Anolis sagrei: one gene and its partners. Each later gene encodes a partner of the first gene's protein in a complex. Links are inferred from orthologs where the notes say so. Each region holds a gene or a part of one and is shown on either strand. Other genes may lie near its edges.

Evidence for each region.
Region 2: AHI1 (region 1) and TMEM107 share a complex: the UniProt entries of both Homo sapiens proteins name them as parts of the tectonic-like complex. The link is inferred for Anolis sagrei from reciprocal best matches to the Homo sapiens genes AHI1 and TMEM107.
Region 3: AHI1 (region 1) and B9D2 share a complex: the UniProt entries of both Homo sapiens proteins name them as parts of the tectonic-like complex. The link is inferred for Anolis sagrei from reciprocal best matches to the Homo sapiens genes AHI1 and B9D2.

The regions. Positions count from the first base shown.
Region 1 is NC_090021.1:80,416,585-80,420,338, reverse strand, and holds the start of AHI1 (jouberin), read right to left. Parts: upstream 2,341-3,754; 5' UTR 2,264-2,340; exon of another isoform or gene 2,260-2,263; intron 1-2,259. UniProt on the Homo sapiens protein: Involved in vesicle trafficking and required for ciliogenesis, formation of primary non-motile cilium, and recruitment of RAB8A to the basal body of primary cilium.
Region 2 is NC_090026.1:7,271,150-7,274,903, forward strand, and holds the start of TMEM107 (transmembrane protein 107), read left to right. Parts: upstream 1-908; 5' UTR 909-1,044; intron 1,045-3,708; 5' UTR 3,709-3,739; coding exon 3,740-3,754. UniProt on the Homo sapiens protein: Plays a role in cilia formation and embryonic patterning. Requires for normal Sonic hedgehog (Shh) signaling in the neural tube and acts in combination with GLI2 and GLI3 to pattern ventral and intermediate neuronal cell types.
Region 3 is NC_090034.1:98,816,877-98,820,630, forward strand, and holds the start of B9D2 (B9 domain-containing protein 2), read right to left. Parts: upstream 2,678-3,754; 5' UTR 2,588-2,677; intron 378-2,587; 5' UTR 374-377; coding exon 286-373; intron 1-285. UniProt on the Homo sapiens protein: Component of the tectonic-like complex, a complex localized at the transition zone of primary cilia and acting as a barrier that prevents diffusion of transmembrane proteins between the cilia and plasma membranes.

The DNA of each region.
Region 1 (3,754 bases):
TACACCACACACAAGGCAGAGATTGATAACAAAACAGTGGGTGATGCCTATGCTATGCAAGCCACTTTGTCTCCTTTTAGAGAGAAAACGTGGGATATAATGTTGTTAATGTAGCCACACTGCAAGAATTGTACGAGGGTTGAATGAAAAGTAATGCCTCCACCTTCATAACTTGGGTTTGGATGGGAATATTTTCATAAATCAAACGCAGAAATAATCCTTAGAATGTGCTCTTTAACTACTGCTATTCATTTTGCCACATAATCACCAGACAATTGGATACATTTCTGCCAATGATGAACAAGTTTTCTGAAGCCATCACGGAAGAAGTCGACACTCTGTATCCGCAACCCACATCTCACAATTCTCTCTATGTCTTTATCAGAAGCAAATTGATGCCCCCGCAGATCTTCTTTCATTATCAGGAACAGATGGAAATCTGACGGTGCTAAATCTGGACTGTATGGAGGATGTTGTATGGTGGTGAGATCCAGTCTCTGAATTTTCAAGTCTACATCGTGGATACCCATCATGCACAGATCTTCCGATAGCCAAGCAAAGCAATAATGTGACCCACACGTTCTTGTGAAATGCCGATTATGCTTGAAATTTCTCTCTGAGTGATACGACGATCATCCTGAATCAATCTGTCAACCTTTTGCTTGTGAAGCTCGGTGGTTGCTATCACAGGACGTCCAACTCTTTGTCTGTCATGCAAGTCAGATGTTCCCACCACAGCATCTTTAAACTTTCTCATCCAACGACTTACAGTACTCACATCAACACAATCACCATAAACAGCTCGCATTCTCTGATGAATCTCCTTTAGGGTGACACCTTCTGCTGTCAAGAATTCAATGACTGCACGTTGCTTAAGTCGCACTGGCCGATCGTCTGCACAGGGTTCCATACTTCACATTATAACAACACAAGCATTCAATGCTAAGGCTTCCTGTCAAAATGGGACTGTAGAGGAGAGTCTACTGAACAAGCCAGCACCTGCCGCATATTTATTTATTTCCTATATTTATACCCCGCCCTTCTCCCCCCGAAGGGGGACTCAGGGCGGCCTAACAAAAGCATCATCCGATGCTAGCATCATAAAAACAACCACAGTACAATCAAATTTTTAAAAATTAAAACAATTAATTAAGACACATCCATTAAAATCAAAATTCAAAAACAAGTCCGCGTCAATTCATTGCCATAAGTTATGTGATCTTCTTCCACTTGCTGCTCACTGATCAAATGCTTGGTCCCATAACCAGGTCTTGATTTTCTTTCTAAAAGACGAGAGGGAAGTGGCCAATCTGATATCTCTAGGGAGGGCATTCCCTCTGGGGGGGGGCACTGCTGAGAAGGCCCTGTCTCTCATCCCCATTAACCGTGTTTGCAATAGTGATGGGGTTGAGAGCAGTACTGTTGAGAAGTTACGAAGGGGGAGGCATTACTTTTCATTGAACCCACGTATCTGTTTGACATCATTTGGCTCAATGTTATGGATAAACTTGGGCCCTCCAGAGTTTGCCACCCCCTCAGATGTTTTGAGGATGGGGGAAGGAAGGGGCCTGAGGTTGTTAGGAATTGTGGGAGTTGGAGTCCAAAACCTCTGGAGGGCCCAAGTTTGCCCAAGTTTCAAAGAGGGTTGGTTACTGCTCTAGAGCCCTGGGCTTTGTTGCTTCACCTTCATCCTTCTGTCAGAGAGCTACACACACTACAAACCCCAGCATTCTGTGGGACTGAGGCAAGGCAGCTCATACCTCACTACCTCTCCATGGGTTTAATTCATCCCAGAGAGGAAAAACATAAAAACTAAAGCACACCCTTGGCCTCTTCCTAATGCTCTTTCCAAAGGGCTCTAGCACCCCCTGCTGAAGTATTTTGAACATAGAGCGAATTCACTCCACTTGGCAAGTGTTGACTGTATCCAGGCTGGGATGAGGCCCCAAAGAGAAAGCCTGAGATTTGAGGCTTTCGCTGCCTTCACAGGAGGCTTTATGGTTGTTGGTTTTTCTCAATTACGGATTCACCCCTCCCCCCTCCCCAACACACAGTCATTTTGGGTTAAACTCCAAATGGGAAGGGTGGGAAACAAAAGCTCGCCATAGGGACGCGAGAAGGCCCTCCAACTGAGACTTTTCTTCTGAGGGAAGAAAGGGAATAACGGGCACCTTTTAGGAGGGGAACGGCAAAGCCCCCTCGCCTCGCCCTCATCCCCCCTCCCCTCCCTCAGAACATGCCAATCAAGTCATCGCCTACCTACCGCTGAGCGCGCGCCGGGGACCTCGAAGAGGAAGGGGGCGGGACGAGCGGCTGCTAGGCGACGGCGGGGAGGGCACGTGATAGCAGGACAGGGCGAGCATGCGCCCTGGCGCTCACTCAGCCTCAACGGGATAAGACTACAGGAGGATTTCCTCTCCCTCCGCCTTCGAGATGCAGAATGAATGGGTTTGGCAGGACTTTTAAGCGCGCTGTGGAAGCCGGGGAGATCTCTAGCCTTTCCCTCTCAAGCAGGGTTGGTTACTCACCAAACTCCAAATCCCAGGCTTCCATTGCCTCCAGCGATGACAATTCAAGGGGTCTCAAACCGCATTAATTCTATACAGTGTAGATGCAATAGATGTCATACAATATAATGCTACTAATAATACAATATAATAATATATAATACTCTAATATAGTAATACTAATATATTAAATATAATTACTACTACTACTAATATATATATATATATATATATAAAATTATATTATATAATAATATAATATTATCTATCTATATATATATATATATGACTGCGTTCCATGCAGTCATGCCGCCACATGACCTTGGAGGTGTCTACGGACAACACTGGCTTAGAAATGGAGATGAGCACCACACCCCAGAGTCAGACATGACTGGACTTAATGTCAGGGGACTACCTTTACCTTTACTAATAATATATAATATACTGTTTTATTTTGATATATTTGAAGTTGTAATGTTTTTGATTTGAACCTCTGATCAAAGCCCCCTGGTGGTGCAGCGGGTTAAACCACTGAGCTGCTGAACTTGCTGACCAAAAGATTAGCGGTTTGAATCTGGGGAGTGGGGTGAGCTCCTGCTGTTAGGCCCAGCTTCTGTCAACCTAGCAGTTCGAAAACATGCAAATGTGAGTAGATCAATAGGTACTGCTTCTGCAGGAAAATAACAGTGTTCCAGGCAGTCATGCTGGCCACATGACCTAGGAGGCGGCTACGGACAACGCCAGCACTTCGGCTTAAAAATGGAGATGAGCACCAACCCTCAGAGTTGAACACAACTAGACTTAATTAATGTCAGCTTTATCTTTATATGGAGAGATAAAGCGGGATGGATATAAATAAACAAATGCACCCTAAATTTAGGAAACTCTACTGTTCTGCTGTTCCTGTGTCAGTCCCTAGGGTCAGTCCAATTAATTGGTTTCTAATAATAATAATAATAATAATAATAAGTTTCTTAGGTCATGGAAAATGAACATGCAAAAATACTGTAGGACTTTCGAATCCAGACTGACAAAGTTTTGGAACATAACACTCAAGACATCACAATTGTGGAAAAGAAAAAAGTCTGGATTATTGATGTTGCCATACCAGGTGACAGTCACATTGAGGAAAAACAACAGGAAAAACGCTGTCAAGACTCAAAATCAAACTTTTTTTTTTGGTCATGTAAGGGGTGACTTGAGAAACTGCAAGTCGCTTCTGGTGTGAGAGAATTGGCCATCTGCAA
Region 2 (3,754 bases), on another chromosome or scaffold:
ATACCTCTGTAACCTTTCCAAAAGAAGGCAACTTGGGCAAGAATGTGTTTAGGTACATCTACATTGTTGAATTAAAGCAGTTTGATACTACTTTAACTGCTATGGAAACGTGGGTATTATAGTCTACCATGGTCTTTTTAGCTTTGACTGCCAAAGAGTGCTAACTGCATTAATTAATTGTTTTTTCCCTAAATTTAGAATTATCCAATTATTAGCAATTATCCAAGAGTGCATCTGCACTGCAGACTTAATGCAGTTTGACACCACTTTAGATGCCATGGGACTTGTAGTTTTAAAAAGTCCTTCCTGCTAAAATGGGCTGGTGCCCTACCAAAACTACAAATCCCAGGATTCCAGAGCGTTTGTGAAATGGCACTTAAAGGTATTTATTATTAGTTTAAAACCATTATTTTAAAGTATTTATTTACTTACTATTATTTACTAAAAGTCCTTCCTGCTAAAATGGGCTGGTGCCCTACCAAAACTACAAGTCCCAGGATTCCAGAGCGTTTGTGAAATGGCACTTAATAGTATTTATTATTAGTTTAAAACCATTATTTCAAAGTATTTATTTATGTACTATTATTTACTAAAAGTCCTTCCTGCTAAAATGGGCTGGTGCCCTACCAAAACTACAAATCCCAGGATTCCAGAGCGTTTGTGAAATGGCACTTAAAGGTATTTATTATTAGTTTAAAACCATTGTTTCAAAGTATTTATTTATTTACTATTATTAAAGTCAAACTGCATTAATCCTCCTCCTGAGAAATAGTAATCAGTAATCTCAGCAACTGGAAAAGAGCCTTTTCCTTTGAGAGGAACGAAATGGCAAGCAAGAGGTTAAGAGGATGGGCATTTACCCACAGTCAATATGGTCGACTAGGCTTCGTCACGCTTGGTAAAATCTCGCGATATTCTAGGAAGCGGGCAAAACAGAACAGAACAAGCCTCCCAAGCGGTTGCTATGGGCAACGGCGCGGCCTAGAGTTGAGGCCTTAAAATCGAGCCCTGGGGAAAAATTGAATGTTCCCGCCAAAACAATAGGTGAGTAAAGTGGGGAGGATATGGGGCTCTATTAATTAATTGGTTCATTAATTAATATGATGAATTCCATTAGGAATTGTAGTTGAAATAAAGGACAGGCCTCTTAGGCCTTGAATGGTTATACAGAAGAGGGAATTTAAGCAGATTGTACTGTTTGTACAGCATAGTGTCTAGATCCAGGGAAGTCATGCTCCCCATGCTCTATTCCGCCTTGGTTAGACCACACCTGGAATATTGTGTCCAATTCTGGGCACTACAATTGAAGAGAGATGTTGACAAGCTCGAATGTGTCCAGAGGAGAGCGACTAAAGTGATAAAAGGTCTGGAGAACAAGCCCTATGAGGAGCGGCTTAAGGAGCTGGGCATGTTTAGCCTGAAGAAGAGAAGGCTGAGAGGAGACATGATAGCCATTTATAAATATGTGAGAGGAAGCCACAGGGAGGAGGGAGCAAGCTTGTTTTCTGCTTCCTTGGAGACTAGGACACGAAACAATGGCTTCAAACTACAAGAGAGGAGATTCCATCTGAACATGAGGAAGAACTTCCTGACTGTGAGAGCCGTTCAGCAGTGGAACTCTCTGCCCCGGAGTGTGGTGGAGGCTCCTTATTTGGAAGCTTTTAAACAGAGGCTGGATGGCCATCTGTCAGGGGTGATTTGAATGCAATATTCCTGCTTCTTGGCAGAATGGGGTTGAACTGGATGGCCCATGAGGTCTCTTCCAACTCTTTGATTCTATGTTTAATTGGCAGGTTTTAAATGTGTCAAGTGTCTTCAGGTGCAAGGCTTTGTTTTGTTTTTGAGGGAGCGAGTTATTATAATGATAATAACAATAACAACTATTATTATTATTACAACAATAATAATATTTATTTACTTCATTTATATACCGCTTTTCTCAGCCCTTGGGCGACTCAAAGCGGTTAACAATAGCAAAATTCAATGCTCAACATCATAAAAACAGTTAAAAAACAATTAAAACAATGACATAATAAACAATCAATTAAACATAGCTATAACATCTCGTTAGCGTCTCATAAGTAGAATCGAGATCCAATCTCATCATCCGTTGTTCCATATTCCTATATTCATTACACTGCCTATTTAAATGCCTGCTCCAATAACCAGGTCTTCACTTTCCTCCAAAATGCCAATAGGGAGGGGGCCAATCTAATTTCTGTAGGAAGAGCGTTCCACAGCCAAGGGGCCACCACTGAGAAGGCCCTGTCTCTTGTCCCCACCAGACGTACTTGTGATGCAGGTGGAACCGAGAACAGGGCCTCCCCAGATGATCTTAACGTCCTAGCTGGTTCATAGAAGGAGATGCATTAGGACAGGTAAGTTGGGCCAGAACCGTTTAGGGCTTTATAAGCTAATGCCAGCACTTTGAATTGTGCCTGGTAGCAAACTGGCAGTCAGTGGAGCTGGCGCAGCAGATGAGTTGTATGCTCCCTGAGCACCGCTCCTGTCAGTATCCTGGCTGTCGAACGTTGGACCATTTGAAGCTTCCGAACAGTCTTCAAAGGCAACCCCACGTAGAAAGTGTTGCAGTAGTCTATACAGAATGTAACCAGAGCGTGGGCTACCGTGGCCAAGTCAGACTTCCCAAGGTACAGGCGCAGCTGGCGCACAAGTTTTAACTTACAAGGATGTTTTAAGTTTTACAAATAAACTTTATTTATACCCCGCCACCATCTCCCCAAAGGGACTCGGGGTGGCTAACATGAGGCCAAGCCCAAGGATTACAGTACAGCAAAGTAAAATACAATAGCAAATAATAATAACAAAGTAAAATATATTATAATTATATATTTTATATTACATGTAATATTGCTACTAATATTATAATATAATAGTATAGTACAATATAGTAATATATAATACTTATATTGTACTATGCTAATAATATAATATATTGTATGTATATATATCTTGTAAGCCTCTCTGAGTCCCCTTTGGGGTGAGAAGGGCGGCATATAAATGTCGTAAATAAATAAATAAATAAATAAAATACAAACAAATACACAATAAACAAACACAAAATAAAATAGTGGAAGAATAAAAACAGAGTGGGCAGGCGAAATGCACAGGATAAAATTGATAAAACCCTGGGTGAGATTAGGTAAATGGAATATTGTGTATCTGGGGGAGAACTCAGAAGGGCGAACAATGTGGTTGACCTTCACTAAGGGATGAGAGAAAGTGCATCATGAGGACAGATCTGTACTGGGACGGACATGGTGTGGGGATGATGATGATGATAATAATAATAATAATCTTCATTTGTAGCCCGCTACCATCGCCCCAAGGGACTCGATGCGGCTTACATGAGGCCAAGCCCAAAGTACATCAAACAAAATATCAAAGCACAACATCAATAAGCAATCAATCAATCAAATACAAATAATATAAATCGCATAAACAAAAAACAGTCAATAGTGACATAAACAATTTTAAAAATGGCCGGGCCAAATGTAATAGATTAAAATTGAAAATATGTTGATGTGGACAAGGTAAAATATAACTAGGATAGGATTATCATGTCCACTTAAAAGTTTGTGCCAAGTCCACACCAATCACACAAAATTATTATTATTAGCACCTATCATCCCATGCTAACACTTTGTAGTGATTTGTTTGTTTTTTTCTTGTCCTTTCTGTTGACAGGATTGCATTGCCCTTTGGATGCTTGGAGAGAATGCCTTTGGTCAGC
Region 3 (3,754 bases), on another chromosome or scaffold:
TGTGTGTTTGTGTGTGTATGTGCATGTGTATATATGTGTGTGTGTGTGTTGGCTCTCTGTATCCATGGATTCTCCATGCTTGGATTCAACAGCCCTTTGAAGGCAACCATAATGTAAAATAATAAAAATAAAGGTGAAATCCTGAATGCAGCCATCATTGTTTCAAAGAGAGATGCCAGTGATGTAACTCTGCCTTACGTCACTTCTCGGCCATTCTCTTTTAGGAGAAGTGTCAAGTCCCAGGCCTTTGAGTGAATGGATCCCAACCTATTGTGCTCCACCGACCTGTGTGGATCCCCCATTTGCAGAAAAGGCTGCTGCGAGGGAATCCGCTGGCTCCCACGATCTGACCGATGACATGGACCTCCGCCATGGACCTGTGATACAGAAAAAGAGACATTTTTAGAAGGAGATGCCAAATCATTAAACCAGTGGTTCTCAACTTGTGGGTCTCCAGGTGTTTTGGCCTTCAACTTCCCAAAATTCTGCCAACCTAGTAGTTTGAAAACATGCAAATGTGAGTACATCAATAGGTATTGCTCCAGCGAGAAGGTAAGGGCACTCCATTCAGTCATGCCGGCCACATAACCTTGGAGGTGTCTATGGACAACACCGGCTCTTCGGCTTAGAAATGGAGATGAGCCCCATCCCCAGAGTTGGACACGACTGGACTTCATGTCAGGGGAAAACCTTCACCTATTACTACACTATGTAACAACATTTGAAAAGAAATTCTGTTCCTAGTTTGAAAGTATTATTTCCTGTTTAGTTGTGTGGTACTTACTTTGAAAGTAGTTGTTTTACTAAACAATATCTCAGAGTACTTGTCAGGTATCAGCACAAACACAAAACAATCTATGTGTAATGTCAAAGAGTACTATCAAAAGAGCATATAGTATTCCATTTACCAAAATCCTCAGTACATAGCTCAATTCAGTGGCACACAGCAAAATCAAAAGGAGCAGCCGCTCTCAAATGTAACAGTTCTAGGTCTGGATAAGGATTACACTGTATATAGGCTTCAGGGATACATTCAATAAGAAAAATCATATAAACAAAGTAAGCATTGAGTCATGAGGCTATATGTAGACTGAAGACAATAATGAAGATGGAGCACCACTCTCAAAACAATCTTCATGGACTTGATTTGGATTTTTTCCATGTGATTCCTTCCTCGGTCGCTTAAGCTTAAGGAAAGAGTCTGAGGCTCTTAGGAATTGTGGGAGTTGAAGTCCAAAACTTCTGGATGTCCAAAGCTTGCCTATGCCTGTTTTAGAAACTGCACTTCTACATTTAACCTATCTATCTATCTATCTATCTATCTATCTATCTATCTATATAATAAAAGTCAGTGTTTGTATGCGGAGGAAAGACGGGAGGGAGGTGTATGCGGCAGCGTTCTGATTGGCTGCCACTGTGGGTACAATTTGCATATGCTCTCTGATTGGCCAGCCTCAAAACTCCAAGATTCTGAGGTGACAGAAGAGAGGAAAAGGCCTGAAGCTGTGTCACAAAATTACCAATACAAACCAAACTTGGCACACAGAGCCCCCATGACCCACACTCCATCCTGGAGCAGTTTGGAGGAGGATGGACCACAGATGATGGGACTCGCAGTACCTTCATTAACTTCCTGAGGCCACTGCGAGCCATATAAATAACTTATAAAGACCAACCTTGATACACAGTCAGGTCCCCTAGTCGGGTCCCCAAGCTAGTTATAACTAAAACTAAGGACTTATACAGCTTGTAAACACAAAATACGGCTTGTAAACATAAAAATAAAACACAATGTCCTCCAACAAGCAAAAATTTGGCAGTTTAGTACACTTTCCCCGTATTTTTATGATAAAAACCCATTGTTGCTGTTGTTCATTCGTTCAGTCGTCTCCGACTCTTCGTGACCTCATGGACCAGTCCACGCCAGAGCTCCCTGTCGGCCGTCACCACCCCCAGCTCCTTCAAGGTCAGTCCAGTCACTTCAAGGATGCCATCCATCTATCTTGCCCTTGGTCGGCCCCTCTTCCTTTAAAACCCATTAGGAAATGACATTTATAAGCTAGGAACAAAAGTCATGTTGGGCAACCACTTGTCCACACTACACAATTAATTCAGTTTGGTACCCCTTTAACTGCCATGACTTAATGTGATGCAAACCTGGGAGATGCAGTCTGGCAAATCACCAGAGGAATCTAAAACTCCAACTCCCAAGATTCCCTAGCAACCAGCCCTGGTAGTTCAAGTGGTCTCAATCCGCATTAATTCCACAGTGTAGATGCCCCCAAGGAATTCCAAACCTTTGGGACTACAACTCCCAGCATTCCTGAGCAGCATACAAGGTTGGCGAGGCTGCTGGGAGTTGAAGTAAATCAAACCCCAAAATAGCAAAGTACTACTATCATTTTATGTCTTTTTAAATGCTATTATCCATTATTTTATTATATAGATATTGTTTTTTTGGGAAAAAAATAAGAATGTGGTGCCCATGTAACGTTTGCACGCTTCTGCGTTCACACGTGCGCACGACACGGGTCTCCCCGGCTCCCTCTGCGCACGCGCACTGGGCATACCCCGCTCTCTTTCTTACCTGAGAATCTCAGCAGCTCCGCCGCCTCAGAATCCATCCATCGCTTCTAGGCCCCGTTGCCTTGGCAACTCGAAAGCCACGCCCACAATGCTTTTGAATATGATTGGTAGAAAGAGACGTCCCACTCGGGACCAAAAGGCGTTAGGGAACGAAACGGCCGCCATCTTGAGTGAGGAAGAAAATGGGACGCCATTTTGGAGCCACGCTAAAAAATATCGGTGACATGACTAGTCGGACATGTTGAGTGTGGCATGAGGAAGAAGCAATGAAAATGCCCAGCTACGGCGTGTGTTGTCCGCCATCTTGGGTGCTCTTCATAGAGGGCTTCCACGGAGGCCATTTTGGAAAGGGCATTTTCCTTCTCTGTTGCTAGGCAACGAAACCTCTGCCTGAATTGCCCTGAGTTCAAATCCTTGCTCCTCATTATTATTCCTCCTGCTTTTATCCACACATTTAAAACAATACAAGGTTAAATAAAGGTAGAAATGCTAGATTTTTAGAAAACTATATGAAAACATGTCTCCTCCTCCTCCTCATTATTATTATTCATTTAAAACAATATACACTTAAAGGAAAAGAAAAACAGAAAAAATAATGCAAACATTAAAAAATACCACAATGCACTAAATAAAACAATATAGAAACTCTTCATCTTCTTTCTAGCTATAAACATAATAACTGAAAAATCCACCACAGGCGTCCCAGTGTTTCTGACTCTCTCCATTGGTGTGGAATTTGCATAATCCCACCCACTGCCTCACTCTTAACCCTTTCCTATTCTTTTCTATGGCACACAGCAAACAAAGCATTATTAATCAGCAACTGAATATATTGGAGAGGTTTGGGGGAGAATTCACCGTGATTTATAGGAGTTTTGGGGAGAATTCACCGTGAACTATACATCCCATTTGTAGGTACTGGGATGTATAGTTCGCCTGCAGTCTAAGAGCTCCACTAACAATGGACCTGGAACTAACTTGACGCACAGAACCCCCCATAACTATCAAAAAATACTGGCGGTCTTTGGAGAGATTAATAGGAGTTGTAGTTCACCTACATCCAGGACACACTATGAATGCAAACAATGATGGATCTGGACCCAACTTGGGATCCATACCCAATAGGAACACATTTGAATACTGGTGGATTTTGAGGGAAATTGGCCTA